7 linked regions of the Coturnix japonica genome follow. The protein of the gene in region 2 purifies or fractionates together with the protein of the main gene of each other region. This does not show direct contact. Links are inferred from orthologs where the notes say so. Each region holds a gene or a part of one and is shown on either strand. Other genes may lie near its edges. The genes, in order: AMOTL1, WWP2, RPAP2, AMOT, POLR2D, FAM168A and LDLRAD4.

Evidence for each region.
Region 1: the proteins of WWP2 (region 2) and AMOTL1 purify together in Homo sapiens (affinity purification with mass spectrometry; 3 studies listed by BioGRID and IntAct, counting the BioPlex papers as one, with this or other methods). This does not show direct contact. The link is inferred for Coturnix japonica from reciprocal best matches to the Homo sapiens genes WWP2 and AMOTL1.
Region 3: the proteins of WWP2 (region 2) and RPAP2 purify together in Homo sapiens (affinity purification with mass spectrometry; 3 studies listed by BioGRID and IntAct, with this or other methods). This does not show direct contact. The link is inferred for Coturnix japonica from reciprocal best matches to the Homo sapiens genes WWP2 and RPAP2.
Region 4: the proteins of WWP2 (region 2) and AMOT purify together in Homo sapiens (affinity purification with mass spectrometry; 3 studies listed by BioGRID and IntAct, counting the BioPlex papers as one, with this or other methods). This does not show direct contact. The link is inferred for Coturnix japonica from reciprocal best matches to the Homo sapiens genes WWP2 and AMOT.
Region 5: the proteins of WWP2 (region 2) and POLR2D purify together in Homo sapiens (affinity purification with mass spectrometry; 3 studies listed by BioGRID and IntAct, with this or other methods). This does not show direct contact. The link is inferred for Coturnix japonica from reciprocal best matches to the Homo sapiens genes WWP2 and POLR2D.
Region 6: the proteins of WWP2 (region 2) and FAM168A purify together in Homo sapiens (affinity purification with mass spectrometry; 3 studies listed by BioGRID and IntAct, counting the BioPlex papers as one, with this or other methods). This does not show direct contact. The link is inferred for Coturnix japonica from reciprocal best matches to the Homo sapiens genes WWP2 and FAM168A.
Region 7: the proteins of WWP2 (region 2) and LDLRAD4 purify together in Homo sapiens (affinity purification with mass spectrometry; 3 studies listed by BioGRID and IntAct, counting the BioPlex papers as one, with this or other methods). This does not show direct contact. The link is inferred for Coturnix japonica from reciprocal best matches to the Homo sapiens genes WWP2 and LDLRAD4.

Annotation. Positions count from the first base shown.
Region 1 is NC_029516.1:165,959,323-165,963,225, forward strand, and holds part of AMOTL1 (angiomotin-like protein 1), read right to left. Parts: intron 1,313-3,903; coding exon of another isoform or gene 1,310-1,312; coding exon 1,163-1,309; intron 1-1,162. UniProt on the Homo sapiens protein: Inhibits the Wnt/beta-catenin signaling pathway, probably by recruiting CTNNB1 to recycling endosomes and hence preventing its translocation to the nucleus.
Region 2 is NC_029526.1:16,996,775-17,000,677, reverse strand, and holds part of WWP2 (NEDD4-like E3 ubiquitin-protein ligase WWP2), read right to left. Parts: intron 3,689-3,903; exon of another isoform or gene 3,644-3,688; intron 3,518-3,643; coding exon 3,378-3,517; intron 1,433-3,377; coding exon 1,219-1,432; intron 1-1,218. UniProt on the Homo sapiens protein: E3 ubiquitin-protein ligase which accepts ubiquitin from an E2 ubiquitin-conjugating enzyme in the form of a thioester and then directly transfers the ubiquitin to targeted substrates.
Region 3 is NC_029523.1:12,310,308-12,314,937, forward strand, and holds the start of RPAP2 (putative RNA polymerase II subunit B1 CTD phosphatase RPAP2), read right to left. Parts: upstream 3,116-4,630; 5' UTR 3,075-3,115; coding exon 3,014-3,074; intron 2,589-3,013; coding exon 2,543-2,588; intron 1,701-2,542; coding exon 1,586-1,700; intron 1,168-1,585; coding exon 1,069-1,167; intron 182-1,068; coding exon 116-181; intron 1-115. Other genes in the region: GLMN (glomulin), read left to right, coding at 3,917-3,982.
Region 4 is NC_029519.1:12,244,867-12,249,414, forward strand, and holds the start of AMOT (angiomotin), read left to right. Parts: upstream 1-1,542; 5' UTR 1,543-1,731; coding exon 1,732-1,744; intron 1,745-3,120; exon of another isoform or gene 3,121-3,185; intron 3,186-4,548.
Region 5 is NC_029524.1:1,664,219-1,668,269, reverse strand, and holds POLR2D (DNA-directed RNA polymerase II subunit RPB4), read right to left. Parts: upstream 2,433-4,051; 5' UTR 2,378-2,432; coding exon 2,305-2,377; intron 2,233-2,304; coding exon 2,052-2,232; intron 1,820-2,051; coding exon 1,724-1,819; intron 776-1,723; coding exon 697-775; 3' UTR 590-696; downstream 1-589. UniProt on the Homo sapiens protein: Core component of RNA polymerase II (Pol II), a DNA-dependent RNA polymerase which synthesizes mRNA precursors and many functional non-coding RNAs using the four ribonucleoside triphosphates as substrates.
Region 6 is NC_029516.1:175,055,618-175,060,278, forward strand, and holds the start of FAM168A (protein FAM168A), read right to left. Parts: upstream 3,105-4,661; 5' UTR 3,083-3,104; intron 563-3,082; 5' UTR 468-562; intron 1-467.
Region 7 is NC_029517.1:87,054,970-87,058,872, forward strand, and holds part of LDLRAD4 (low-density lipoprotein receptor class A domain-containing protein 4), read right to left. Parts: intron 2,296-3,903; coding exon 2,242-2,295; intron 1,113-2,241; coding exon 570-1,112; 3' UTR 1-569. UniProt on the Homo sapiens protein: Functions as a negative regulator of TGF-beta signaling and thereby probably plays a role in cell proliferation, differentiation, apoptosis, motility, extracellular matrix production and immunosuppression.

The sequences.
Region 1 (3,903 bases), on a different chromosome or scaffold from region 2:
CTGGAGTGAAGCCACTCAGCTCAGGGGTTAGGTCAAATACCAACACAGCCTCCAGCTCCCTTCTTCATCTCAGTCCTGTTTGTTCTGCACAGCAACATGAGCATTAGTTATAGAAAGCGATGCACACAGTGAAGCTTGCTTGGAGCAAGGCATAATCCCTCCTAGCTGGATCCTCACTTGTGCACCCATCCCAAAGAGTTGTGAGGTATTTGTGCCTACACCAAAGGAGTGCTCCTGGTGGGGGTAGAAGTGAAAATTAGCCCTCAGCTCCGCAGAGTCCTCCCATTTTCCTAGGCAAGGAGGAGGTGCTGTTCTGAGTTCAGTTTTTGAGGTCATTTTTGGCAACTTCCCTTCTCTATCCTGCTGTTTCCAATTCTCAAAGGAGTTCCTCAGCAGTACTTGTGTTTGTTTTCTTGGCATTCAAAAGTAGTTAAAAAGCAAAACTTTCTCCTGAGCTCTGCTATTTCCCCATATTTCACCAGTTACTGCACATGCTGTGGGTCAAATTTTATACAATCTGGATGGCAGAGGGGAAGAAATGCCCTTGACTCATTCTGTGACAACTGGCCATTTCCACTAACACTGTTCCTGCCATAAAAGCTTAACAATGATTGTGAAGCTTGAGGGAGAGAGAAGATTCTCAGGCTGTTTTATTCCATACCTGATCTGCAGAACACATCTCTCACCACCAGAACACAGAGAGTCTGCCAGCTCCCTGGGCCTGTGTCTGAGCCAACAAGACGAATGGCTTAGATTGGAAAGGCCCTTAAAGGTCATCTAGTTCTAATGATACAAACCCATTTAGCTGGCTGCACAATAGCCAAACGTCCATCCATATGCTCCTCCACTCCTGAAGCTACAGTAAATTCATACTGCTGTATTTGCATTATCACAGTGCACAGGAGTCTTGCTATAATAGTCATTTTGCAGACTTGCAATAAAAACTTCTCTTACATGCAAGAATGCAGAAGCTATTAGACTATACAAATGACAGGGGGTTGTAACGCTTGGGTCAAAGGAACCTGCCTTTTGCCCATGCTGGGGATGAGAAGCTGACCTTCATCTCAGTAAATATTATTTATAAATGGCATCTGGTTAGTTCACGCATAGGGAAATCCCAGACGTAACCATGATGGGTTCATAAGGAAGAGTGGCAACTCACCAGCTTTTTCTTTAGCACTGACTGCTTCAGCTGTCAGAGGAGAAATGTCATGCCTGCCAGCAAACAACTGGTGGTCCTGATAAAGAAAGCCAGTGTCCTCCAGTATCTGGCCTGGGCTGGTGGGCTTGTAGCATGCAGCTGAGGAGCCTGCAAGGAAGAAAAGTAGGATGTCAGTCAATAAGTTATTTGAATGATAAAATATAAAGCCCTGAGTGTCTGAGAGGCCCTGCTGGGGTCAGGCTGAGGAACAAGCAGGAGGCAATGAACCATCAGTGCCATCCCATGCCCCAGCCCAGGAACACAGCCAGGCTGACCCAGCTTGGTTTACAAGAACCAGCAGATTTAAAGGTTGCCAACAGAGGGTGTGGAATCTCCTTCCTGGAGACCTCCCAATGCCACCTGGGCATGGCCCTGGGCGCCCTGTGAAGCCCACAGACATGGGGAGAAGCTTGCACAAGCAGAGAAGCACATATTTTTAGCACATTATTGCTGATTCTACCCCCTATATGAAGCAGGGCAGCAGGATTCTGCCCATCCCGATTACAGGCACAGAGATGCAGAAACTATTTTCTTCTGTGCCCAGAGGAGAGGAAACAGGCGCTTGTGCAAAATGTTAATGAATTCATCACTCCACCATTCATGTTACACACAGATCTGTATGGCAGTTATCTATATTTAGAGAGCAAGGAGGAGAAGATTGCTCACTTGAGGAGATATAAGCTAAACATGTTTGTCAGAATTAGCACGGAAGGCTGTTCTAGCATTTGTGCTGATGAAGACACAAGGAAAACATCAGAACCCCACTTTGCAACACGACTGCTGTATTAACATCCCATACACCCTTCAATGCTCCTCCACACACACACAGCCCTGCCCTTGGACTGGGAATTCCACCTGAAACAAAGAGTTGTGAGCCTGGGCTTGCTTTACAAATAAAAGCTGGATTGGGATGAAACACACAGGGAAGAAAAACAGTCTCGGGCATTACAAGCAGCCTAAACACCCACCAGCTAAACGTCATCACTAGGCAGCAAAAGCTAAAAGAAAAACCGCTACTAAAATTTTGCTTTCATTCATCCGCCTGATGTATTTTGAGTCATTAGACACCCTCAGGTTGCATCTTCAAGTGCTGTATCTACAGCAAAGGGCACATGAGGAGATGCAAAGCAAAACGGCTTTGCTGCAAATCACAGCAAAAGACAAGGAGTGAGATGAGATGGGCTGCACCCATGGAACGCCACCTGCATCTGGGCATGTCCTGAGCACCAGAGCAGCTCAGCTAAGCCAGAAGGGTTCCAAAGAAAGGCAACCTGCCTGGTGTGATGGTTACCCAAACTCTGATAGCCAAAGGGAGCAAAGAAAAGGCTTAGAGAAGTGGTCACTTGAGAAGAAACAAGCAGAGCCACATTCAGTGCTATCACTTTGCTGAGGAAGGTCTGAAGCCACCAGAGAAAAAAAATCCTGGACTTACAGGATTTAGAACCTGACCAGAATTTGCTGCTTGCTTAGATCCCTTGGTTAGCACTGGCTCCTTCAGAGGAGGCCTTGGCACAGCTGCCCATAGAGCTGTGGTGCCCCCCATCCCTGGAGGGGCTCAAGGCCAGGTTGGATGGTCCCTGGGCAGCCTGAGCTGGTGGGGGGCAACCAGCCCATGGCAGGGGTTGGGGATGAGTGGGCTTCAAGGTTCAACCCAAGCCCTCCTAGGATTTCTGCCTCAATACCCATTCTCCCAGACCTCAATGGTTGCACAACACCCATTCATCTGTTTCCTCTGTTAAAGATAAGCACATAATTATGCCATATCATCCTCATACAGCTACGCAATTCAAGATTCGCAACCATTTAAATGAATCATTCACTAAGATTAATGCAGCAAGGACCCACAGATGCTTAAATATTTCCTGTTTCTGATGTGGTTTTGGGCTGGTTTTGAAAGGGATCAAACCCAAAACCTCATAGGAAGCATACTGCTGTGACATTACAGGAAAGCCACGTCTTCAGAGCAATACCAGCACTTCCAGGAAGCTGATTTCCTCCTCAAAAGCTATTTGGAGTAGGCAGTGTTCTTCCAGCCAACCTACTATGATTTACATCTTTACTAAAACACCCCCAAAATGCCCATTTTGCATGGCCTGCTGCTATTTTGATGCAGCGCTGGGAGTTGTTTTCCATATGGCTCCTCCACCGTCATTCACCACTCCCAAAATCCTCCACCCTGCCAGATAGAAGCAGTGGGTGTCCTAAAGAAAATCCCCTCCCAAGCTGTATCGCAGCTCAAAAAGAGACTGGAGTATTTCAAGCTCCTTCCAAAGCAGCCATCTGAAATTAAGAGGGAAATAAAGCGGCTTTGCACTTTCCCATCAACTCCTCCAGGGTCTGTAAGGAGGATCCAAAAATGACAGAACAAAAATGACATCGTTTCAAAGCCCACATCTGTCCTTCTGTCTCTCAGCCAAGCCAGCAAGAAATATAAATACCTCATTCCACCTTTGGAATATTTCCTCTGACCTGTTGCTGCGTAAATCATAGTTTGAATTGGAAGGGATCCTCAAAGGCCACCAAGTCAACACCCCCCGCAGTCAACGGGCACCTACAGCTCAATCAGGTGCTCAGGGCTCCATCCAGCCCAACCTTGGGTGCTTCTACAGATGGAGCACTCATCACTTAGGTCAGTGAGAAAAGTATTGATGAAGGAAATCAACACAAGGACAGTCGAACCACCACTGGTGCTATCCCAAGAC
Region 2 (3,903 bases):
CTTTTCCAGCTGCCTGGAAACAGGAAGCGCCCAGGCCTGAGAACAGTAACCCTCACACACCCCACATAAAGGCACACTGAGCCGTTAACCCTAATTACCTGTGACTGACACATCAGCAAGACCCTGACCTTCCAGGCATCGGCTTAGCCAGAGGAAAATAAACAGCTCCTTCATACGAATATGAGGCACTGCAAGACCCTCCCCCATCCTCCAACTCTGCATTCACACTCCAGAGCAAAGGTGTAGGAAAGGTGGAGGATGGGGCTCAGGCTTGCCCCAGGCCACAGTCCCACTCCTTCCCAGCAGGACACAAAGCAGCCAGAGAGGAACCCAAGCCCCAGGCATTCCCTCAGCACCACAGGGCTGGCACAGCACAGGACTGGGCTTCACCATCCCAAGGACGACCCTCTCTCTCTCTCCCAGTAATGACCCCAGGACCCAGGAGAGGCCCTACCCGGCTCCAAACACTGATGCACCATGGGGCTGCTCACATCCCTGTTCAATCCGCTGTAGCACTAGACATAGAAGCTGTGGGAGGATCCCTCTCAGCTCCCCACAATGTCCATTTCTGTCATATTCCACTCTTTGATATCCATGCCTCCCTTTTAGAGGGAGCTCCCTGCAGATCCACACTCTCTCTCTCTCATGATCTTCCCACCGAACCTTTGAACAGCCACAGGATCTCTGAGGACTTCACTGCTCCAGGCACCAGCCTTGGAAGGCCACTAATAGCAAAGATGTGATTCACTGTTCATTTCCCCAGGGCCCCACAATGGATACAGATCAGAGTCCTGGCCCAAAGGAGGAGAGAGCAGTCCAACACAGACAGACCCTGCTCTGGCTGAACAGGAGACAAGCTGTGTCAGGGATGGGAGACACAGATCCCCATTCAGCAGAACCAGACAGAGACAGCAGGTCTTCTTGGATGCTTCTGCACTCCCAGCAGCACCCCTCTCTGCTCTAGGCTCCCTTCCCAGGCTGTGCTCACGGCCCCTTGCAGGGCTTCCCATGCCATGAGCTCTGCTGAGCAGGAAGGTCATCGCTGTTGAGCCCTGCTGCATGGCCCCAGCCTTCCAACACCCATCCCCTCTTGCAGCACAAAGCAGTGTCCCAGCAGCTCTCTCACTGCCTCCAGGGCTGTGCCTCCCTCCTCAAGTACCCCCAGGGCACTCAGCCATGCTGCTCCATCAGGGAACAAGAGCAGCGAGAACTGCTTACCCAGGGGGCAGAGAGTCCTGAGCCTGCACTGCTGTCCGTGCCTGCGGGGTGCTGGGTGCTGCCTCCTCGGCTTCTGTGGAGCCAGGCAGGGCAGAAAGGGTGGATGCAGCAACAGAACCATCAGCTGTGCTCGATGTGTCTGCAGCCTGCACGGCAGTCCCCGCAGCCGGCCTTTCTTCTTCCACATCCACAGTTCCCACCACATCACCGTTCACTGGGAAGGCAGAGGGGAGAGATATTAGCACCAAGAGCAGCACTGGCTGTTCCACCACCCTGGAGCAGCCTCACAACCACGGTGGTGGTGGTGGCGACAGGGAGCACACGGTTCCAGGCCAGGTCCACAGAGCCCCTGCCTCCATCTTTCCTCTTGAGAAAAAAGCAGACAATTGCATTTGTGCTCAGCATCCCTTCTGCTGCCTGCAGATGTGTTGCAGGCCTGATGTAGATGCCAGAAGCGAGGAGCTCAGGGGCAAGGCTGCCTTGCAGCATCCCCACAACAGGCACTGCTGGGAGCTGAGTGGTGCTGGTTCCACTGCATTTGTGGACAGAGGAAGGGACTGAGCAAGGGAAAACCACAACAAAAACTGATCCGGAGGAAAATGCAGACCAAAAGAATGAAACTTGTCAGAGCTCAGCAGCACAGCAGAGGATAACTTTTGCCACAGCCACAGATTAAAGAATTCAAAACAGAACAGAGGGATGCAGGTAGAGCTCCACGAGTTAGAATTCAGAAATGCAAAAAGCTGCAAGGCCAGGTTTTGTAGTAAACATCACACAGGAGTCAGGTGTTCACTGCTGGCAAGTCTTGCAAAGACTGAGGAGCTTCAAACAGTTCTGAGGGAATGTGACTCGGGTGACTGCACTGCAATTGCATTGATCCCAGTCCTGGACAGAACATGGGAAAAGATGATTCAAAGTCCACTGATAAGGACTCCATGAGGAGTGGGGCTGGGGCTAAGCTACACCATGGAGAATGCATGCCACACAGCAACTTCCTTTTGTTCTCAGGTGAAATTACAGCTATTGGCTACAAATGTAACTGGGAAGTTCTTGCAGCAGTTGGCTTCCAAACTGCACAAGCTATTGTCAAAAGAACACACGGAGCTGGGAGGAAGAGGAAGGCTTCTGGAGGCAAACTGAGCGTGACAGAGCGCCCAGCACCACCCCCGGCAGCACCTCCCATCCCGAGGTGTAACGCCCCAGCTGGCACACTGCTGAACGATGAACAGCAACAAGGACGGCACGGCCATAAAGACACTGGGAAGGCTGGGACCGGGCCAGCACAACGCGTTGTGAAGCGAGCAGAGCCCAGGAACAGCACCGTGCCTGCGGGTGCGTCACAGCGGGGCAGGGGCTGGGCAGCAATGGGGCGAGCTGGGACTGCAGGCTGAACTGCTGCGTCCCAATGCAGCCCTCTGCACCCCCACCTCCCTCCCAGAATGGATTTTGGCAAAATAGAAATTAAGTGCTCCAACTTTTTCCAAAGTAATGGGAAAGAAAAAAGTTCTCCTGTCTTGAACCCAGCATTTCATTCTGTCTGAAACAAAGCACGCTGCTTTCCCTTCGGGTCTCTGACAAGAGCAAAAGAAAGGACAGAACTGCTGCAAAATAACAGTGCAGGGGAGTAGGAAATGCCTGTGGTAGTGATGCCACCCTGCTGCCACCTCCCACCCTATAGCACCGCAACATGTACTTGCCCAGGATGAGGGACATGGGACCCCGGCAAAGCCCACAGTGCCAGGCACTGTCCTACCACTGTCCCGGGGCAGCTCCAGCACAGCAGCAGAGAAAAGCTGGTGAGCTGGTTATGGCTTTGTAGTCACACACTCGGGTCCAGTGGACAAGCCCATGAAAAGACAAGGAAAACTCTTCCTGAAAGTACTGCTGGCATGAGACTGAGTGTCCTTCTGAGGGGTGGGTTTGTGCTCTCACAGAAAGGAGCCCAAGGAATCATTAGAGAAACAGAACAGGTCCCACCAGTGAGCCTTAAGGAGCTGCCCAGCTTATCAAAGTGAAACCAACAGTTCCTTTATGGGGAAGAAACCCCTCAGCACTACAGGACCCTCAATCACAGTAGAAAACTCCTTTCCCCCTCAGACCGCACCCCCAGCTCTGCCCACCCCATGCCCGCAGCAGCAGCAGATCCCCGCTGTGCTCACCAGTGCTGCTGGCAGTGCCATTGGCCATGCTGGTGGCTGTCGGGCTCTTGGGCGGCTGCCGGTGGCGGCTCCGTGTGTTGGGACTTTGCTCCCCGTTGCTCACACCCTGCCTGGAGGCCCCAGCAGTGAGGCGGTGTGTCCTGCAGGGAAAGAAACAGGAGGTGAGGCACAGCTGGGCCTGGGTAAGAGCCTGTTTGCCCTGACTCCATGCTGCTGCTCCGCAGGCACAGACATCTGCCCACTTGCTGGGACACAGCAGCACATACCTGCTCCGAACCTCAGCTCTCCGAACCAGCACGCAGGTCCTGGCATCCCACCCCCAGTGTCAGAGTCCACAGGAGACAACTCCCAGTGCAGCTCTTGCCTGCATGCCCAGAGATGATCACACACCGCTGCCTCCTGCACCAGGAGACCCCCAAGGAAACACTCAGAGCAGCCACGAGCCCAGTGCAGAGACAAGTGGGGAAGCTGCAAGCTTCTGCCTATGATGCCAGGAAGGAACAGCTGGGAAAGTCAGCACTGAAAC
Region 3 (4,630 bases), on a different chromosome or scaffold from region 2:
ATGAGATACACATGCATTAGTTGTGATTCAGTCCATTATATGAATGCTGTTACAAAATGCATTTGTGATGTGGAGACAATATTAAATACATTCTAAAAACAGCTTGTTACCATACCTTTCTTTCAGTAATATCGTAAACTCTGTTAGTTTTTGTTGAAATCCTGTACTTCTGTTTTGGCACCTAAAATGACATGCTTTCATCAGCAAGATTGTCACAATGTTATATAAAACTTTCCTTTTAATTCACGTTTTCAGTATAAGTAATGTATTCAGTTTTAACTGAATTACGTACTACAGCAGCTCTCTTGGTATTGTATCTCCTTAGACATTAGAACTGCAATTTCTCATTATTCATTCACATCTTAGTAGGCAACTTCAGGTTTACAAGAAAGCCTCTGCTGGGAGTGAACCAATGGAGCTGTCACAGAAGAAACCCTGTTCATGTGTGACTCTGCCACTATTCAGACAAATCCAGAGGGGAGCTTACATCAAAGGTAATAGTTTCCAAGTTCTGTTGGGACATGTGAAATCCAAAACGGTACCTATTTTTCCTTTCATGATTTATTTTTCCCAGATAACTGGTTGTATCACACCTGGTATTATGGTTATGTAACTGAACTCATAGTTCCACTTAAGCTCTAATACGTTGTATTTAGGCATGACTGATTTTGACACAAGTAAGGTCTGTTTTTGGAGGGGATGTATTTGCAGTCACATAGTAATACCCATGTGTTTTACCTCTTTCATATCAGCCCTTCTTACAAAGGTACAGAAGGAACAGATTAAAATGTTTCTGCATGCACAAAGGATAGCTATGACACCACACCTTATTTATCTTTATTACTGTCCAAATAGATTGTAATTGATTCCCTTATACAGCAACAGTTGTCAATCAATCAGATTTAACTTTTAACTTCAGAAGCATTATACTGAAATGATACCTGACAGCATTTTAATCTATATTTTAACATTCTAAGTTTAAAATGAAAAAAATAAGCAAGAGAATAAAAAATGTGATTAGGTTCTTATGATAACATTACTCAAAAACAAACAAAAAAAGCAACTTACATTTTCCAGTTTATTTTGACATACGGGGTAACCACATAGTTTGATGATAGACCGTTCATCAACAACGTCCTTATAGTGAGATGGAGTAATACATTTTCCCTGCAATTACAAGAAAATAGTTCAAGAATACTGGAAGATCTGTTACTTTTCACACTCAGATGTAAATAAGCAAATACATACTTTCCATTTTATAACTGTAAGTTTAATATACAGCACTTGAACTGTGGGGTAAAGAGCACCATTGGCTAAACTCACAGAGGGCATGATATGGACTTAACTTTTTGTGCTTCCCAGAGGCATAAAGTATGCTAATAGAGAGAGATTCACAATTATATCTCATCCTACAAAACTGGAGCATATTTTCACTGGAGAACCCTTGAAAGTAAGGCAGCCATCAACAGAGCTGACAAGAGAGGATGAACTTGTCTGCTCTGAACTGCAGCAAATTGTTCTAAGGACTTTTAAAAAACAGCTGGACACTAAGATACAAAATAACACAAAAACTTGTGACACGTACAGAATTCAGAAGGAACTCTTCAGTAATGTCCTCTTCCAGGAGCTGCTCAACAATACGCAGTGCCTTTCTCTCAAGTTCAATCTTTTTTCTAGTAGAAGCCTCCAGGGCTGCTTTCCTGTAACGTAAGAGATGTTGAATGAAACAGAAAGCAGCTCCCATAAGCAATTCCCCACCTGGATATCTTCTTTTCTGAAACACAGTAGTTTATATTTTCTGCATCTCATCAAGTTGGCCAAACAAAGCAATAAGTGGGCTATAAATTTTGTAATAACCACTAAAGACAAACAAAAAGATTCTTTGCTTTATTTTCTCCCCAGTCAGGAAAAGTATTGACTTTTATTGTCAAACCACAACAGAATTATTCCAGTATATGCACCCATTGGTATTTTCCTGTACCTTCCATGTATCTGCAGTGAGGCATATTTTGATATATTCTCTCTCTATATGTAGATTGTAGCCTTTGCTGAACTTTATTCTCACTCTGTCAGACAGGCCAATTGAACTGTGCATCAGCCAGGTGATGGAACAGAGATACCTCCTGTAGCTCCACCTCCCCCTGGAAAGTTGTTCTCCTGCCATCTGTGTCACCACTGCAAATCTGGATTCCTCTGGGCATCTCTCCCTGATGGGCGGCTGTCTGACACGTGGGAGCAGCTGGCAGAGGCACCTGTACTGTGTTGTTCTATGCTGCTTAAAGGGGATGCAGCTTTCAGCCCTGTTCAGATGTAATGTGCAGCTCTATCCAAACAGGATGGCTATGCCTATTCTAAGCAATGCTAAGTTGATGTTTGTTTAAAAGACCCACGGCATCACACCAAAAACCTGCTGGAGGTGGATGCTGGTGTCTCTGGAGGTCAGTCATCTCTGGCAAAGCCAAAAACACAGGAGGAAAAGAGCACAGTTCCAGAGTGAAGCAAAGCAAAGTGATCGCAGTGTGTTGTTTGCTAGAAATGATACCTCTGATCAGCATCTTCATTTTTAGGGGCAGCCGACCGTTTATGTCCTAGAAATCGAAAACATGGAAGCATATAAGTGTCTGTTCTTCCTTTAGCAATGAAAACATTGGAACTTTTAAAAAACACGAAGACTTCTGCAAGCACATTGGAATGCACATTGGAATGCACAGAGCCTCGCTGTTGTTGGCTATGCCTTCAGCAAGGCAATAACCGCTGGGCAGTGTCAGGTACGGTTTTGTACCGCTGCGGGGTGAGCACGGCCTGCCCTCATCCGACCTCCTGCGGGGAGCCCTGCCCCGTGCAGCCGCTGTGTTGCCGCAGCCGCCCCGAACTCGCGGTACCCTCGTGCCCCGCCAGCCCAGGCCGTGCTGCCGTGCTGCTGTGCTGCCGTGCTACCGCCCGGCACGGCCAGGAGTTGCATTAACTCACTGTACCGGCCTGCGGAGCGGGCGGAGCGCGGCGCGGAACTCACCTGCCCGCCGCCGGCCGGGCCTCCCCTTCGCACTGCACGGCGTCTTCCCATCCGCCATCATGGCGCTGCCGCCTCCCTCCCTCTGACCTCTCACCGGAGGCGGAGCCGTGTCGGCCGGGCCCGGGCCGGGAGCGAGGAGCGGCGGCAGCGCGGTGTGAGCGGTTACGGTGGGTGCTGTGAGCGGGGAGCGCTTCTTGCGGGTTTTGTTTGTAATTCAGCCCTGGGTTAAAGGCTGACCTTAGCAGCCCCTCGTGCTGGCGTGTATGTGGCACCCCACGTGGGAAAGCTACTTTAATAGAGGAGGGAGGGCTCTGAGTATAAGCAGCAGTAAGTTTGTGCTTATTTGGGTGCTGTACGTTTGCCGCTGGAACCGCTGGAAAGATGTAATTAGAAAGTGGGTTAAGTCGTAAGGCCTGACAGCGTGGGGAGCTGAGCAGCGCCGTGTGTGCCGTCACGTGTCCGAGGGCTGGGGGGGAAAACAGCAGAGCTGACAGCGTATGGAAATTGGTGGTGGGTTAGGGACAGTGGCTGTATAACGAGCCTTAGGCAGAAGAAAGTACTCAAAGCTGTTAAACAAACAGGAATCCCCAAACCTGAAGTTTTTAATTGTTGCACCTGAAGAAAATGGAATGCTTGATCGGCCAGCACTGCAAGGAAGTGAATAATGTTGCATATGTAGTCTTGACTGGTCTAAACCACTGTTGGTACAAGGCAGCAGGCACCTGAAGGCACATATGAAGGCACATACAGCTCCCACTGTATGTGGCCATGCAGTAGCTAAAAGACTGTTCTCATTTCTCTATTTGGTGTCTTAATAACATGATTTTTTTTAATTTATTTTTAAATTTCTGCATTTACTTAATGTGTTTTAATACTGTACCTTTTAATTCCTAATAGTTTTCAATGCCTGAAGAGCAAACTCAAGCAATAATGGCAGTTGATGAACTTCAAGCCATAATACAAAGATGCGTAAGTACTTCTCATAAAAGTCATAAGTGCAATTAAAGGTTCACTCTATGGCTTCAGAACACAAGATACTTGTTAGAAGATCTCCTTGCTGCTATCTGGGCTTAGTCTCCATGTTTCATTCACTTCTCCCTGACTGTTTTCCCAAGTTTTCCCTCTTGGAGAAAGAAGTGTTCTTGTTTCTCTCAGCAGAACATGTCAAAGTGAACATATCACAGAATCACAGAACTGTAGGGGTGGGAAGGGACCTCCAGAGGTCATCAAGTCCAGCCCCCTTGCAAAGCAGGCCCCCTACAGCAGGCTGCACAGGTAGGTGTCCAGGAGTAGTCTTGAATATCTCCAGAGAAGGAGACTCCACAACCTCCCTGGGCAGCCTGTTCCAGTGCTCCGTCACCCTTACCATGAAGACGTTCTGTTGTGTTTTGATGCAGAGCTTCCTGTGTGCTTCAGTTTATTGCCATTTCCCCTTGTCCTGTCCACACACACTGCTGAAAAGAGGTTGGCTGTGTCCCTTTGACTCCCACACTTAAGATATTTATAGATGTTAATAAGATCACCTCTGAGTCTTCTTTACTCAGGGCTGAATAGACCCAGTTTACTCAGCCTTTCCTCATATGGGAGATGCTCCAGGCCCTTTGTCATCTTTGTGTC
Region 4 (4,548 bases), on a different chromosome or scaffold from region 2:
ACAAAAAGACTATGGATTTTGGAAATCTACTACTACAATAACAAACGTTCCACCGTGTTTTATAACAGTCTGTTCTTGTCTGGCTCTGGCAAACAAGGCCTTGTTAGAGCAAGGCTTGTTTTAGTGTCGCTCTTGGAATCCTGTGTTGCTGGCTTCCCATGGAGCAAAAACAAGACTTACCCTCCATATCTCCTTTGGTATTTACAGTGAAAGGTCGGTGTGTGGCCACTACCTCCTCTTTGTCCTCCTCCTCTTCATCAAAAGCAACAAGACAAAGCTGTCTGTAATCAAATATAGCAAGGAGTTGTGATGCACCATGAACACAGATGTATGCACTCAAAAATATTTTTGCACCTGACTTTTGGATTCGTGCTATGTATGTCTTAGAATGGTTTGTTTGTTTGTTTCCATGCCTTATTCTAATTATTGCCACTCTTAGGTCTGTGTGCTGAGAACAAACCAACAGCAGAACTAGACATGCTTAGTTTTTCAGATATTAAAGCAAAGGGGATGAAATGTCCTTGCATGAGTCTGCAGGAGCTGTACGCTTGATGACCAGCAGCTGATTAACAACAATTTCCAGATGTTTAACCTTTGCCTATAGTTTAGTTTTAGTAACTATTTGTCTATCTGTAACTATCTATTTCAAGAGAGCATGTGGCAGAAGGCCACAAAGATGAGGGGCCTGGAACATCTCCTGTACAAGGAGAGGCTGAGAGACGTAGGGCTGTTCAGCCTGGATAAGAGAAGGCTGAGAGGGGATCTCAAGTGTAAGAGTCGAGTAGATGGGAGCGTGCTCCTGTTTGACCAGGGGGTTGGACTCCATGGAACCCCGAGGTCCCTTCCGAGCCCTGCAGTTCTGTGACTCTGTGAGGGGCCTCCAGTGGGCAGCAGCCATTTCGTGAGCTCAGAAACCCCACTCACCTGGAGGTAAGGGTGAGCTCCGGGTCCTTTTGTTCTCCCTGCGGGCTCTCCTCGGCGTACCTCACTCACAGCGGTAACAACAACTCGCTCGGCCTTTTGAGAAGGACTTCTGAGCTTTCATCCCCACCAAGTCCCGCTCGGACCCTCCGCTCGCTGAGGTGCCGCCACCGACAGAGCCCAGCACGCAGCCCGGGGCGCTGAGGAGGGGCGGGCGGACTACGCCTCCCGGCAGCCACTGCAGGGCCCGGCCCAGCGGGGGATGCCGGGCGCCGCCGCCGCCTGGTGAAAGTTATCCACCCAACCTGGGCAAGGCGCCTCCCAGAGCCGCGCGGCGCCTCCCGTTGCCATGCCGGCTTTGTCACCTCGGCGGGGAAAGCGGCAGGATGGATGAGCGGGCGGCCGACGGGGCAGGCGCCCGCCGGGTAAGGAGCGGGAAGGGAGGGACCGATGGAAGGCGCGGGCCGCTGCGGTGAGGCCGGTTCTCCGCGCCTCTGAGAGGGCCCGCGGCCGCCCTGCCCGCCGGGATGCCGGGCTCGGGCAGGTGCAGGGGAGCGGCGCGGGGCTCCGCCGGTGGAGAGGCCGCTGGGGGAAAGGGGGAGCGAGGAGTCTGCTCCCGCCTCACGACCGCGGCCCTCCTGCCCTCCATCCCTCCCTCAGGGGCTGCCCGCCGCCCCGCGCTCGGCCTGAGGGTACTGTGGCCGCGCTGCCCCGTCTCGGGCCCCTCCCGGGGACGGAGGCAGAGCCGGGGCTCAGCCCCAGGCCCCCGCGAGTCCTGAGGAAGACTCCTGGGAAAGCTTCGAGAAGGCTATGAGGGTTTGCCGTGAGTACCTGCTCTGCGGTCAGAGGGGTTTGCGTGTGTGAAGGGGAGAGCAGAGCTGTGCTGGCCCTTGCCATGTCTGTTTTTGGGTCCATGTAGCGCCAGGGGACACTTTGCTCCTGTAGTCCCACACAGGAGCCCTGTGGCCTCAGTGCGTGCCTGGCCCACTGCTCCCATTCCTGCTGATCCACCTCTGCCCGAACCCCAAATTAAGCAGAAAGGACTCCAAATCCTCCTACTTTGGTTCCTGAGAGAAGAAAATGTTGATCTATGAGTGATGATCCCAGAAGTGTTGGGAGCTCTGTATCTGTGTCCCTGCCCCATAGAGAGAGAATGATCCCCCAGCAGCCCCCTGAGGTCTGGGTTCAACCATCCCTGCGCTGCCCCAGGTAAAAAAGACTGGGCCTTTATAGGCAGGCTGATTCAGGTTGGCCTATAAATATTCTCAGCGAGACTCACCATATGGTGGGAGCAGAGCCACAAGTTCCATCTGTGCCAATTCCAAGATATCTTTTTGGTAGAGCAGAGGGACGGAAGGCTGAATCTGCAGTCACGCAGGAACCTGGCGGCTGTTGCTTTTGCTTGATGTTGTAGGTAGCCAGAACCCAGCGAAACCACCCCTATGTGCCAGGACACCTCCTGGTGTTCCCATGGCACAGGTACTTGGGGGGCTGTTTTTACTTCTTAAAACATCTGGTCCCAGGCTCATGCCCATGGCATCCTTGCCTGGAGTCCTTTACCACGAGGAGCATCAAGAAGATGCCCATTTGATTTTCAGGTTAAGTTTCTGTGTCACCTCTAATAAATGATCTTCTGCTCATCCCTCATGCAACAGAAAATAGAAAATTCCATTCTAATTCAGTCCTCGTTCTTATTCCACGTTTTAATAATAGTTTTTCATTTAACATCTAATCCTGTCCTAGCACCTCTAATCAGTAAGGCCCAAGGTGCTTTACAAAAGAAGGGAAAAAAACCTATTCCAATTATCCTCATTAAAGCTGATATCTTTTGGCTTTGGGCAGCTTCTGCAGATAATATAGGTCATAAATAATTAGGAATACAATCTAATTAAAAGAAATCCCAGTTGTAAACCAAAGGGCCACACTGAAGAAGCCGGTCTTCAAAGGCACGGCCTTGTAACCTAACCTCCCTGATCAGAGCAGCATCCCATTAACCTGCAGCTCTTTGCCCTCCTGACCTGTGTGCCCCAGCAGCAGGTACTGCTGGGTGCCTGTGTAGGATTGTAGAGAGGGAGAGATTCAGGGTGTCTGTGACAAAAAGCATTCTGGTTTGAATAAAGGTCTGGTGTTTAGCAAGCTACCATAACCCACAGTCTGAACTGAGCAAAATGGAACTAATGTAGGGGTTTTTTTTTTTAGCAAAAGAGAAATAATTACTGGAAATTAGAAACACTGCTCAAACTCGAGTCCTGAAGATAGTTAAAGTAAGTTGTGTCCTGGATCAAGTTCATACGTGACCTAAATAGAATTCTGACCCCAGAACTCACTCTGAGCACTATCTTTCATTAAAGTTGGGTGTGAACTTTCATGTCTGGGAGTTTAGGCTCATACTAAACTGGATCTCTGTGTTTTACCTGCGTGCCTCCTTGGAAGCTGACTATCTCAGGGCTGCTGTTTATCTGTATAATTCAATAGTAGGGCTATGTGGGAGAAATCCCTGTTCTCATTCCAAGAACTTGCTGTCACGTATTAATTATTCTGTGGCAATATTTGTGCTCTGATTCCTAGTTACACAGTGTTTAGCGATGACCTAATTGCAATGTTCTCATTAGCAGAGAAGTTTCTGAGTTTGACTTTCTAGTTCACCTTCTCCATAAGTCATCATACGTTCTACCATCAATACTGCTACTTTAGCCTGATGTTTTCTGGGTCGTCATAAGGCATTTGAAGTGCATCCATAACAGCTTCTTGCATTACACTGTTGTATCCTACAACTTAGTTCAGAGTGAGAGCAGACCATCTTGTAGGTGAAAATGGCAGAATCTGAAGAGCTATGTCAGCTTTCTTACCACTAAAGAAACCGCACCTGTGTTTGGTGTTGGGTAATTTCCTTGAAAGCTGGGAATACACCAGCAGCTACGAACAAACCTAAAATGGCCAGACTCCTTTTGGATTGTCTTGTGCAGGGGTTTAGTCTCAACCACGAGATGTTGGTTTAATTTTCAAACTCAGAGGCTGCTGACTGCAGGTTACATTAACTGAGTCCCTTTGGGCTTAGGAGAGGTCTGATTTTGATCTACCTGTGCTGTAATTTCTTTGTTTGTAAAACCCAGATGTTTTGTGTTAACTGTAATTGTTTTATATACATGGAGCTCAGAATAGTAAGGGATGGCTGGAGCTCTGGGAAGCACTGGTGATACTGGACATGGGCTCCATGTGGCAAGAGGACACCCACAGCAGTAAGGCAGTGGGGTACACAAGCACTGGGAGCTGCAGGGTGGGGGGATGAGAGCAGAAAAAAGGGGGAAGGATCAAAGGAAGTATATAAAAGTATAACATTAGAAACAGTGTATGGGGCAGATGGCTGACAGAAAACCTTGGAAGAGCAGGTCTAGAAGGATGTAGGGAGAAAACTAAACCTATGCTGCTTGGACAAGGCTTTGCCTTTGCATGTGATAACGTTCTTAGAAAAACTTGGTGCCACTTATGGGAGAGACGAGGGGAGAGGATTCCTGGAAAAGTACATATGCGCACAAAGAAGCCTTTGGTTTCTTCCCTTGCACATTTGTAGAGAGCTCACGTCTTTCTCTTACCCCAGGAGACATTCCTATTTCCTTTCATTTACCA
Region 5 (4,051 bases), on a different chromosome or scaffold from region 2:
GCAGGCCCAAGGAGGAACAGCACGAACTGGGAGCGGGACAGACGCTCTACTCAGGCCCCAGCAGCCGCGCACGGCGCAGCGCTGCCCCACCACAACACGGCGCTCACAGCCCACATCCCTCACCCCGCGGACAAGGCCGGGCCCGAAGCGCCGCGATCCCGCCCCGCTCCAACCTGAGCTCGGCCTGAGCTCGGCCTCCCTCCAGGGCCAAGGCCTAAAAATGGCGGAGCGAACCGCGCTCTCCGAGCCCCACTCCCGCCTCACACCGCACCCAGCCGAGCTCACCGTCCAGCCGGCGTCTCCCACCGCGCCCTCGCGGCCCCGCCGCTCGGCTCGGCTCGGCTCTTCGGCCCCGGAAGCCGCCGACGCCGCCTCACGATCCCCCGCCGCGGCCGGCCGCCATCTTCCTGCCCCCACCAGCGCCAGGGGCGGCGCATGCGCACCACGATAAGACGCTGAGCGGCAGGGAGGCCGCTCCACAGCCTGCGCATGCGCAATCGGAAGCCGCGCAGCCCTCAGAGCGTCCACCTTGTCCCAGTACAATCAGTGTATTGCAGAGATCTTCATAAATATGACAGAACACAGAAGCTTAATTAGAAATATCTTTTAATATCTTAGAAACATCTTTTTTAATTTACGCTAAGGGGAATAATACAAAACAACTGAGCGTATCAGGGCAGCTTTTGGTGCTCAGCTTCAGTACTGGAAGCTGCGTTTGGTCTGAATATCGTCAAGAATCTGCTGTAATTCCTCATCTTCAAACCGGCCCTCGAGGCTGCAAGGTAAGAACAAGGTGGGTACATTAAAGCTCGTAGGAACAGCCTCCCCTGTTCCCCTCTGAATTCATTTCACACCCATGCAGAGCCTCCTGTTTATGTGACAGAACTCCAACCTTCCCACAGCTCAGTGTGGAATGATTTCAAGTCATTGTACCAAAAGGTCAACCCGGGTGCAGGCCTCATGCTCATAAGCCAGTCCAGATTTGCTATGAAGAATGTGAGCAAAATACCTCAAGTTGTACCAATGGAGGTTTCAATTAGAAAGAATTTCTTCACAGAAGGGGTGGTGAGGTGTTGGAACAGGCTGAGCAGGGAAGTGCTGGTTGCCTTTTGTGGAGGTATTCAACAAACGTTTGTACAACTTAGAAGATTCTATGAAATCTTAGCATACAAGGGGAAAGCTGTACTTCAGATGAGTGTCTCATTCCTCCTCTATCTCAGGGTACGAGGTAACAAATGATGAGACGACACTGGAAGATCTCCCTGCCCCATCTGCACATTGTCCACCCAGCGGTTCAGAGGGACACTGCTGTTTGCTCCAACAACAACCAACAAACGCAGCTGGCTGGGCTGACAGCCCCAGTCTAAGCCACTGCCCAGAGATGTGCTGGAATCCCCACTTCTGGAGACATCCAAGGCCAGGCTCTGAGCAACCTGACCCAGCTGTGGGTGTCCCTGTTCACTGCAGGGGAGTTGGAGCAAATGGCCTTTAATGGTTCCTTCCAACTCCACGATTCCATCACTCTTAATCCAGTAAATGTTATCTAAAGTGCGTTAGGGATATTTAGATTGCTTCACTGTCAGATCAATGGGTAAGTGAAGAAAAACTGAGATGGAAGGTTTTCCCATCAGCAGAGCTGGATTATGGAGGAGGCATCTGTCCATGGGCAGCTTTACATCACAGGGCAGTACACCACACTCCTTTTAGGTATATAAATGCTCACCTGGGAATCAAAGCTTTGGCTTCCTCAGCAGTCTCAGGGCATAAATTGGCTAAACACGCCAGTTCAAACTTATGGAGCTTCTTCTGGAGCAGCAAGCTGTGAGGAAAGCCAACAACAAGACAGATAAGCAAAGCAGCATCAAGGCAAGCAGACAGCACACAACTCTGCTTTTTGACACTGCATCCAAGTTTATGAAGGAAGAAACATTACAACAGTGGATAGGTAAAAAGACAGACACAGCTGTGGGAAGCCCAGGAAACGTCAGTAAATCTCAGCTCCATCGAACAAGGCTGATGTTACGTATCACAGCCCAAAGCCTCGCACCCACCTGCGGACGCTGGCGATGGTCTCCCTGTTCTTGAAGCGGCTGAACCGCGCTGTGTAATTCAGGGTTTTCATGAAGACTTCGGACAGCTCCTGCTCATCCTCCGCGCTCTCGTTCTGCTGCTTGCGATGCTCCAGAAGCATATGGACCTCTGAGTTCAGCAGGGTTTCTGCCGTTTCGAATTCTACGTTGGAACAAGCAAACGTCAGTGTTTAAAACACGGATCCAAACAACAGCACGAGGTGTCGCCGCGCACCTTTGGGGAAGACGAGCTGCGAGGCGTCCTCCTCCACATCCGCAGTGCGCGGGTCGCTGCCGCCCGCCGCCATTGCTCACCCGGAACTGGAAGACATGGCGCCCGGAAGCGCAGCGCTGTGAGTGCCCGGCGCCCAGCAGAGGGAGCGGCGCCTCAGGTGGCTCCAGCTGCGCTGCACGGCGCTGTGAGCACCCAGCGCCTCCATCTTGATGCCTCTGAGGGAACGCAGCGAGTGATGGCTCCAGGAAACAACCCACAGCAGCATTACTTCTGGTGCAGTGTGGTAAATACATGGAGGTGTGTGTGGGAGGAGCATGGATGGCAATAGCAGAACACAATAGAAGTAAGGTTCCCTTCTTTGGCCTACTCAGGAATAATCCATAGACAGCTTAAAGCTTCAGGCAGGCTGGAAATGAGTGGGTTCGTCCTGGCACTGCTAGCAAAGTAGTGTTTGTAGTAGTACTTTCCCTTGGGAACACACATGAAAGTGCCCAACCAGCTTAAGACTTACAGTAATCATCTTAGGCTGCACAATGTCACCCCATGCCCTTAAAGAAATGCAGAAATAAATGGCTGGAGGATTCACTGTGAGGCCACTCCTGCTCTCCTAACGCACATCTGTGCCGGCTGCTGTGCTTCCTGCACCCTGCAGGTGGGTGAGCTCCACCAGGAGCTGCAGGATCAGATCTGAGCTCCTTAATGTTTGTTAACTCCAGACGAGCGTGGCAGAGAAGCGAACTAAAAACGAATTAGCTGAGTGGTACAAACAGAAAGACACTCAGGAAGATAGTGTGGAAATAGAACATCTAGTGAATGAGGCTATTTCAATTACGTTTACAAGAAAACAAGGAAATCATAGAATCATAGGCTGGCTTGGGTTGGAATGGACCTCAAGGATCATAAAGCTCCAACCCCTCCCCCCCCCACCACCACAGGCAGGGCCACCAACCTCCATATCTAATACTAGATGAGGCTGTCCAGGGCCACATCCACATGCCAGATTGATGAGAGAAGCCTTTTAAAATCATTTGGAATCCCAACAGCTTCTCACATACCCTTTCACCTCAGAACATCCTGATCTTCAAGCAGTAGGTAGCTTGCAGTCTTGGTTACAAATTTAACATCTGTTGTTCCCCAGTGATCTCTCCTACTTAAGTACATGAAAACTGAAAGGATTCGGGGAAAGCCACATACCTACAAGAGCATAAAGGTACAGCCAAGGAGGCGGTGGTGGTGGCTAACAGCTCCCTGTCACTGCTGTGCTTGGTTTCAGTCTCAGGTTTTAGACATGAGCTTCTGTTGCATAGTCCAGGGCAGAAAGTGTTGGTTGGGACATCAGTGGTTTATTAAATAGATACTCTACAGCAATTCCTTCCTTCCCTCTGAAAACAGACCCACTAGCAACTTGAGTGCAAAAAAACAGCTATTACACACACACACACACACACACACAAACAACAAAAACAAAACCCCTTTAGCTAAACATCTGTATAGTAAAACATAGGAACATGTAATAAATACATTCCATTATCAGCATTGCTGAATTTTGTAATGTCTTTCCTTCCAGCAGCTCTGGAGCTTTGTCGCAGTAATTATCTACCTAGTGGGCGTGCCACAGACTGACTTTTATTTAGAAAGCAGGTTTTGACTGAAGGTAATAAGATCAGAACACTGAGACCTTAATCTCTTCTTGTTGTCAGCAACATTTTTAACATGTGCTACATCAAAATCCATGAGCAAAATCCCC
Region 6 (4,661 bases), on a different chromosome or scaffold from region 2:
GGCTGGATGTGGCTCTGGGCAGCCTGGTCTGCTGGCTGGTGACCCTGCACATAGCAGGGGGCTGGAGCTGGATGAGCATTGAGGTCCTTTGCAACCCAGGCCATTCCATCATTCTATGATTCCATGATTTTCTTTACACAAAGGAGCAACAGAAGCTGATAGAAAACCATCTATGAGCCGATGACAGAGCTGCATACAAGGACTGTCCCCTTGCCAACCCTCTGATTTGACCCAGCTGATGCCTTTCACCTTCTTTTGGATACAAAACAATTGTGTTTATTAAGACAATAGGAAGACTAACAACCACTAAAAAGCCAACTCTCACAGCTCTTTACAAGAGCAGCACACACCTACTGTGCATTCTACCCCAGTCCTCACTACCTCAGACTTAATAACTCCATAAATCAATGCAGTATTCCCATTCAAACGTAACCATTTGAGTACACCACGCAAATGTGAGTCAGTACCTTTTGTGAACAAACTTCCTTTGGATGGAGATGATCTGGACGGCGACGTGCCTTGGGCTGCGGGGCACTGGGACTGGTCACAGCATTCCACAGCTCTAAAGGAACAACAGAAAGAGAACCATCAGTGAGGCTCTGCTGGCAAACCCAATGCACAGAAAGCACGGCTTGTCCCATCGTGGAGACGTCGTCATTTGCACTGCAGCAAGAGCAGCAAGGCATGTGTGTATGAATCGGACCCACTGCTGTCAACTGGTGGGTGGGTGCATCTACTGCAGCTCCCTTAAAGTAAATGTCCATTTGTTTAACCTCTAAAAACTCAAAGAATTCATTTTTCCATCGGGATTTCCAACAGATTATTCAGCATTTGCATCCTCTCTTGAATCAAGACTGAGAATCTTCCTGTAGGCATCTGCTACGCTCGGTGGCTTTGGGTGGGATACTCACGTGGTGCATCTTGCACTAAGGCTGAATGAACTGAAACTCAATGCTTTCCTATATCCTGCCGGAGAACTGCATATATCTATTATAGATAGATATATAGATATATAGATATATAGATATATAGATATATANATAGATAGATAGATAGATAGATAGATAGATAGATAGATAGATAGATAGATAGATATATATATATAGATAGATATATCTATATATATAGATAGATATATCATATATCTATCTACTGCATATCAGTCAGCATCAGGAGCAGACAAACCAAAACCAAGATCTTCTCAGCTTCCAAAAAGGAGAAAACACAGGAACTTGGAGTGTTCAGAGTGTGTGGGGCTGAGGGACATGGGCAATGGGCATGGTGGGGTGGGCTGGGGGTCTTGGAAGCCTTTCCCAGCCTTATCAATTCTATGTGTACGCAGTTAACCTCTCTCTCTCTCTGCCTTATAACACAGTGTGTGTGTTGCTTGGAGATTCCTCACATTTTTGGGGTTTCTGGCTTCCTTTACAGCCTCCCAGTTCAATGACATAACTACAGAATGCAACAAACCGTCTCCAGGAGAGAGAGAGGAAAGGCAAAGTGAGCTCCAGCAGAAAGGACGACTTGACAAATCTCATCACATCACGCTCAGCACTGGCAAATGAGTCTCTCTTGGAGCACATTTTGTACTCCGAGTAGCCTCAGTGCTTCGGGAGGTACCAAATATAACACAGCCCCGTTTTAACTTCCTTCCAGGAATACACACAGCCATTTATCAAGAAGACGTGGGCTGCAGCTTCAGTTCCAAAAGCTTCGGTAACATTTTGTCAAATGAAATTATTCCTTTCGTAGTGAGAAAGAAACAAGAAAAGCAATGTGGGTACCAGCAACCTGAGTGCAACCCCTTCCTCACAGCTGCACCCCCCCCAGCATCCTTGAGTGTGCCCACCTATGGGACCAACCCTCTTTCCATCCGTTTTACACTAAATCTGGATGCCTTCGCCCTCAGTGCTTCACTCAGCAGATCCACCTTGGTAGCTAAATTTGCCAAGTTTTGCATTTTTTTTGTTTTAATTTATTATTTTTACATCTTTACACCTCCATGGCCACAGAAACCCATAAATTCCTCGTGCTGAATGCACGAGCGGTGCTTTCCTTCCATATAACCAGCTTGGTTCAGCAGGACAGCACTGCAGTGACCTTCAGGGCAGGGAATTATCAGCAACTTCATCCTTCCACTATTTTCCAGCTGTAAACAAGCAGACAGAAGTGTTGTGCCCACCTCCTGTTCACCACATCACTTGGGTCATCCTGTCCATTACCTACAGCCACAAAGCATCTCTGCTCTCTTCTCTCTTTCAAAAAACCCTCAGAAATGGTCAGAACTGAAGATAACACAAATGAGTACTAGCAAAAATCAAACTTCTGTATGAATTCTGTATGACACTTATTAGACATTGAGACAAGGAAAACATATTTTGAAGAGAAAATGGCATATGAGGAGCCAAGGATGGACACAAAAGCCAGTCTTGGGTTGCTGGAGCTGAGGGGTTTTGCTTTGTTTTGGCTTCTAAAGTTTCTGGATGCTGCTACACCTTCTCCAGTCCACTTAGATTTAGAATCACAGAATCATTCAGGTTGGAAAAGACCTCCAAGATCCCCAAGGCCAACCCCAACCCAGCCCACCATACCCACTGCCCACATCCCTCAGTGCCACATCCCCATGGTTCTGAACACCCCCAGAGATGGTGACCACCCCACTCACTGGGCAACTGTGTCACTGCCTTATAATGCAGTTTATTTGCTCGTCTACCAGATTTGTACAAGTGGAAAGCCACCTCAGTTTAGGGTCAGGGCTCTTGCATCTCCTGCTCACCACTCTCAGCTTCCTACAGCCTTCTTCAGAGGGCCAAAGTTGCAGCAGCTTGCTGAATAAATTCATTAACACATTTTGCTCAAGTTTCCCATTAACTTCTAATTTCCTAATTACGAGATTACATGCTCTACCTTTTAAAGCAATTTACCTCTATCCAGTTGAGCAAAGAAACCCAACAAAGGATTCCTGCAGCTTACTCCCTGAGTCCTCCACTCACTCCCATTGTGTTTTTGGTGCCAAAAAGTTTAAACCCTTTAACATTTCCTTATAAGATTACTAGGGCTGCTTAGTAAGAAAAACCTTTACCTACTATCTTCACTAACTTGGCAGCAGGCAGAGTATTCTTCATTTTATTTCTATCCTCCTCTGCTATGACCAATATTAAGTTTGCTTCTTTTCACCGTTAGGATGATCTCCCTGATTCTTCTGTCGTACTTCCATCCATTTCTGTCCTTTTCTATCCATTGCTTTTGTTCCTCTATAAAAATCAAGACTCCAGAGGTAGGAGCTGGGAACACGGGTTATGAAATGGATTAAGAATTAATTAGAACACGTTGTTTAAAAACCTCACCTCGGCAGACTGTAGAGCGTTAGGGCAATGCTGTGCTGGCGCAACTCATTTAAAAACACACTCCATGACTTATCAAATGAAGATGAAAACCTTCACCGAGTTCCTGACATGCTGTAGAGTACAAACACAGCCTTCTCAGCCGAGGAAAAGACTTATTTAGTTGGGTTGCACTGTGCAACTTTCATCCTGAGCTATTTTTCTTCCTCAAAAACCTTCCCGACTGATCGAATCGTGTGGTCGTCCAATGGGACTTTCACCAGGACTGTGAATTTGGAAGGAACAGAAAAGCATCAGGAGGTAAAATCCTACTGGATGAAGATGGAGCCAGGCACTCAAGCACTCGATGTTTTTAAGTCCTATTCCCTTGGTCTACTCAACACTCCATTGGTCTTAGCCAAAAGGCCAAAGAACCATTCTGCATTCCACAGCCTTGTGTTTAAACCTCTGGGCATCCCAACTTTGCAAAACCAAGAAGGTTCTTCAGCTCCAATGAGTAAAACTCAGTTGACTGAGATTACTTAATGAACACTCCTCTATGCAGTCCCCAGGTGCTCCTACCCCCATGTTCTTTCAGCCTTAAAGCACCATCCTTCTCCCAGCACTGCACAGAATCATAGGTTCACCAAAGGTTGGAAAAGACCTCCAAGATCATCGGGTCCAACCATCCACACATCACCAGTAGTTCTCACTAAACCAGGTCCCTTAATACAACGTCCAAATGTCCCCTGAACACCTCCAGGTCCATCTCCAGCACCAGCTCCATGTGCTGGGCTGCATCCTTGTATCAAACAGTTCTAATCCTAGACAGGAAAAAATATTCAAAGGCACAGAAGTAGATGGTTAAAGCCATTCACCTCCTGTTTCCATCAGTGTTACAACACCACGGTATTGCGAATCTGATATTCTCTCTTGAGCAGCCTCTACTTTCTAAGACACCTTAAGGTTATTAAGCCACAAACAACTTTGCAGTCAAAAGAAAGCAAGTTAATTATCTAAGAGCAATGTTCATTGAAATAATTTACTACACCACCGACGGCCTTGAGCCTTCAAAGTCTTGGAATCATTGGAAAAGATCTCTTTACAACTACAGCAGCCTCAGTTCGACCTTATTGTGTATTGGGGGAAAAAAAATCCAAGAATAACATTCTGTTACGAGCACTAAAAGAAGGATTAATGAGAACATGGCAAACAATCTATTCAGACATGAAGACAAGCATCGACAGAGTTCCATTCTCATATAACTTTTGCTCACACAGTGAATAAATGAAGGACTACAGCTCAAAGGCATTAGGCTGGGAGCAAGGAGACAGTGGA
Region 7 (3,903 bases), on a different chromosome or scaffold from region 2:
TTTAAAACATTAAGATAGTGCAACTTTTAAAAACACATTTATCACAACACAAATTAATTCCTTGCATTCATCTAAGTTCTCAACTTTATACCTTGGCACACAAAACAGGAATTTTGATTCATATTTAAAAAAAAAAACAAAAGCACACCCTGGGAGAAAAAAAAAAGCAAACTGGCCAATTCTTCCCCCATTTAACCAGCAAAACCTTCGTCTTTCTGCCATTCAGTGAGTACAAAATCGGCTGTACGAGCCTCATTTCTGTGCTAAGTTTACTTTTAGAATTAAATAATTGAAATAGTTTATTAAAAAAAAATAATATATTCCCCTTCCCCCCGCCCCCCAAAACACTGCTCATAGACAAACTGAATGGAAGTTTGTATTTCTTTCCATCTGCTTTGCATGCAATTCCCCTGAAAGGAATCAGAAACAAACAACTGGTTTGCACGTTTGGTTTTACTAAGTTGTACCACGTGAAATGTAACAACACTGTGCACCGGAGCACTGGGCTCTTCCTCCGCCGCCCTGCTTCAATCTCTTGTCTTCAGTCCAAATGCACCTTGGAGAGTGACTTAGACCAGGTTCCCTGGTTTCCGGTCTTGGCCTTTGCTGGGGACAATTGTGCTCTCTGAATTGTTCTGCTGAAACTGAAGTCTGCTCCCCCTCTGCGAGGAAGGAGGAGCGTTGCTGTGCTGGTGATGGAAAAACGAGGAGCCTGGGTAGTGCCCCATGACCTCGCTGTACGTCGGGGGTGGTCCTTCCATCCTTCCATTACTGCTATAGTTGGTTGCACTTATGCCCGAATTGCTGCTCGGTGGGCAGGGGCCCCCATTGTACATGGAAATGTCTATCAAGTCGCTATCAAAAATGGTTCGGTTGGGCGGTGCCCTGACAGATTCCCGGTTGAGCTCCATCTGCTGCTCTGGGTCCCGGAGCTGCAGGGTGCACGGGCCTTGGTATGGCGGCGGCTCTTCCCCATCCGAGAGGGAAATGGTCGGAGGAAGGTCAATCTCATGCTGCATGTATGGGTATGTGGGCTGGAAGCGACTGAAACGGTCCCGCTGCATAAAAGATGGGGCTGTAAACCTGTCCCTGGACCTTGGAGCATACATAATCTGCAATGGGAAGAGAGAGAAATGTGACTCCAGAGCTGAGCAAAGCACTGAGGGCTCTCCATGCTGATGAAGAACTAATAAACAGAAAATGCTTCTCTCTGTCATCTATCTCAGAGGTTCAATCCCGCAGATGCTGTGCGTGCCTGCTCCTACAGGCGGGCATGGAAAAGAAGAGGTAGGAGTTCAGGAAGGATCTAACACAAGACATTGCAGAACAGCTTCAAGAAAGACGATCCTTCTAATATTAAAACACGAATAGCTAAGATAAATGAATTCTGTTTCTGTAGATAGGAAACACTCCAAATTATTTTCCTCTCTAATCTTGACAATTAATTAGTTCTCCAAGACATGCCAATACTGAACTTCAGCTGCAGCCTGAGCCTACCCCTCCTGTTCCAAGTTAACCTAACACCCAGCACTAACAAAGAATTCAGATGGACACTTTGGTGTATCTTGTGAAGGTCCAGCATATCTCACGCCTTCACCATCAGAGTACAGCAGGTGTCCTCCTCCTCCTCAGCTCTCAGCCAGGAAGAGTTTGAGATAGTCTGAGAGGAGCTATTGCTTCTCACTTCATCCATTTCAAATCTCGACAGACACACCAACTTCTTAGATCTACCTCTATCAAACTGCTCTTTTAATTTCTTAGTCCCCACAGGGTCCTTAGTCCTTGACCCACACAAACACAGTGTCAGCTGCACAGGAGAGCTGGGCCTCTCAGGACAGCGCACCCGTAAGTTACCACACAGGCCACGTATATGTGCTGGCCAGAGATTTGGAAACACTGGTGAGAGGGTGTGTGTGTACATTCAGGAAAAATCAAAGGGAGAAAAGCAACAGGTCTCCCACATTCCAATGAAAAACTACTGAGCCTCTGCACGTCACTTACCTGAGAATGTCTACTAAGTTACAAGGAGCTGCTGACGGAGATGAGACATCAGGAAGTTAGAATGTTCTTTTAATGAAAATGTCTTAGACATTTAAAGAACGGGAGTTAAGACAGGTTTAGATGTCCATATGAATGTGGTTCTTGATCTCAGCTCCCAAGGCCTGATTTACTAAATAGATGCATGTCTTAAGAGAAGGCAAATATACATAATGTCAAAGATGGTAAGAAATGCCACTGTACCTCTGAAGCACCCTGGCGTGAAACCGAGCTTTCCGAAGGCCACAAGCACCCTTCCTGCAAGGCAGAAGGGAACAACACATGAGAAAAATCATGACAATCCTGCCTCAGTACCACAGTGAACAATCCGTTTCTAGCTGTTGGTTAACCACACCTAAGGGGAGTCCCACCCCTTGCTTTCTAGAAGTAGAACGAACAGCAGCTCTGCATCCAAGCAGGTGAAGCTCAGCGCACTGTGAACATGCAGAGATGCCAGCCACAGCAGCTGGCCTCACAAACCGCAGGGATACAGCAGGCCAGTCCCAGCCACGTGTTGGGATGTGGCTGCCATGAGGTCTAATGAAGCTTGTCCTGCTGCCCAGTGTCCTAATTACACAAGGAGTCAAAACCGTACACAACAAAATCTGATGACACCTGTCACGTGCCATGGAGAGGACTAAACTCAGGAATACCCTGGTCAACACCGTCAAGTGCTCGATTCCCACCATAAAACAGCAATGAAACTGGTTTCAGCCACCAGTTCTGCTCTTCAGGCACTTCCCGGCCACCTTTCCAGGCCAAAGTGTTTTCTCTCTCACCCCCCAGCAGCCTGTTTTAGCACTGTACCCAGGGCCAGAACAAAAGGGTGAAGAAAAAGTTGTCAATAAGGGCAAAACAGTTTCAGGTGTACCGTTCTTTTCCTTCTCAATTTTTTAGAGCAGCAATATGTACTGCAATTTATCTATTTTACTGGAAAACTTGAAAGCTGAAAAGGACAAACTAGAGTAGTTACAGAGGACAGAATTTCAACCTTACTAGAGAAAAAAAATCAAAACAGTACACGGTTATGAGCATTTTCTTAGTGCTAAGTAAACTTGCAAGATTTCATAGGCATCAGAAATTCCAGGAAGGAAAATGCACACTGCAAATCCTACTGTACAGCTTTTTCTCACCAGAGCATCTTTGAACATATTTCAGATGTAAAAATAGACCTAACTAGATGTTCAGCATGGCACTCAGACACCAAAACCGTCTGTGATCTTGTCAGGAGAGTCCACCACAGAGGAAAGCTGTTCTGGGAGGAATCTCCCATAGGATTCAGCTGTTAAGAGAAAGGGTTTGAATAACAAAGCTTGTCAGTCACTTCTCTTCTGTAGCTGGAGAGAGTAGATAAAGAAGGCTGACAATTTAAGCTATTTACAATTTCCTTTTGCAAGTATCCCCACTCACTAACACCTGATATGAGGAAAGAATCTTAGGTAGACTCATGTACTACAGTGGCTACATAAGATTTTGCTGACTACAGAAATGCTGTGTAACTGCAGTAGTTCAAGTTACACCAGTATCCACCTTCCTTTCTACCCCTCCATAACCCAGATACCCACGGTTTAAAATATCTGAGGGCGTATCTGTACAATTACAGGCAATCAAGTTATCAGCTGGTGGCCAAGCAGGCTCCAAGCCTACTGCAAGTCAGCGACGTCTAGCAGTCAATGCTAAAATGCCCAGTTAACAACCCAAGGGCTGCCATTCAACTGCAAACTCCCAAGTGTGCAGCTTTATGCTTCGTGCCACTTTCTCTCCTTTAAAGCATTCAGGTTCAGAAGAGAGAAGAAAAGCCAAAACCCAGCCCAGAAAGGAATTCAATACAACACCAACACTCATGTTACTTAAAAGTCACCTCAG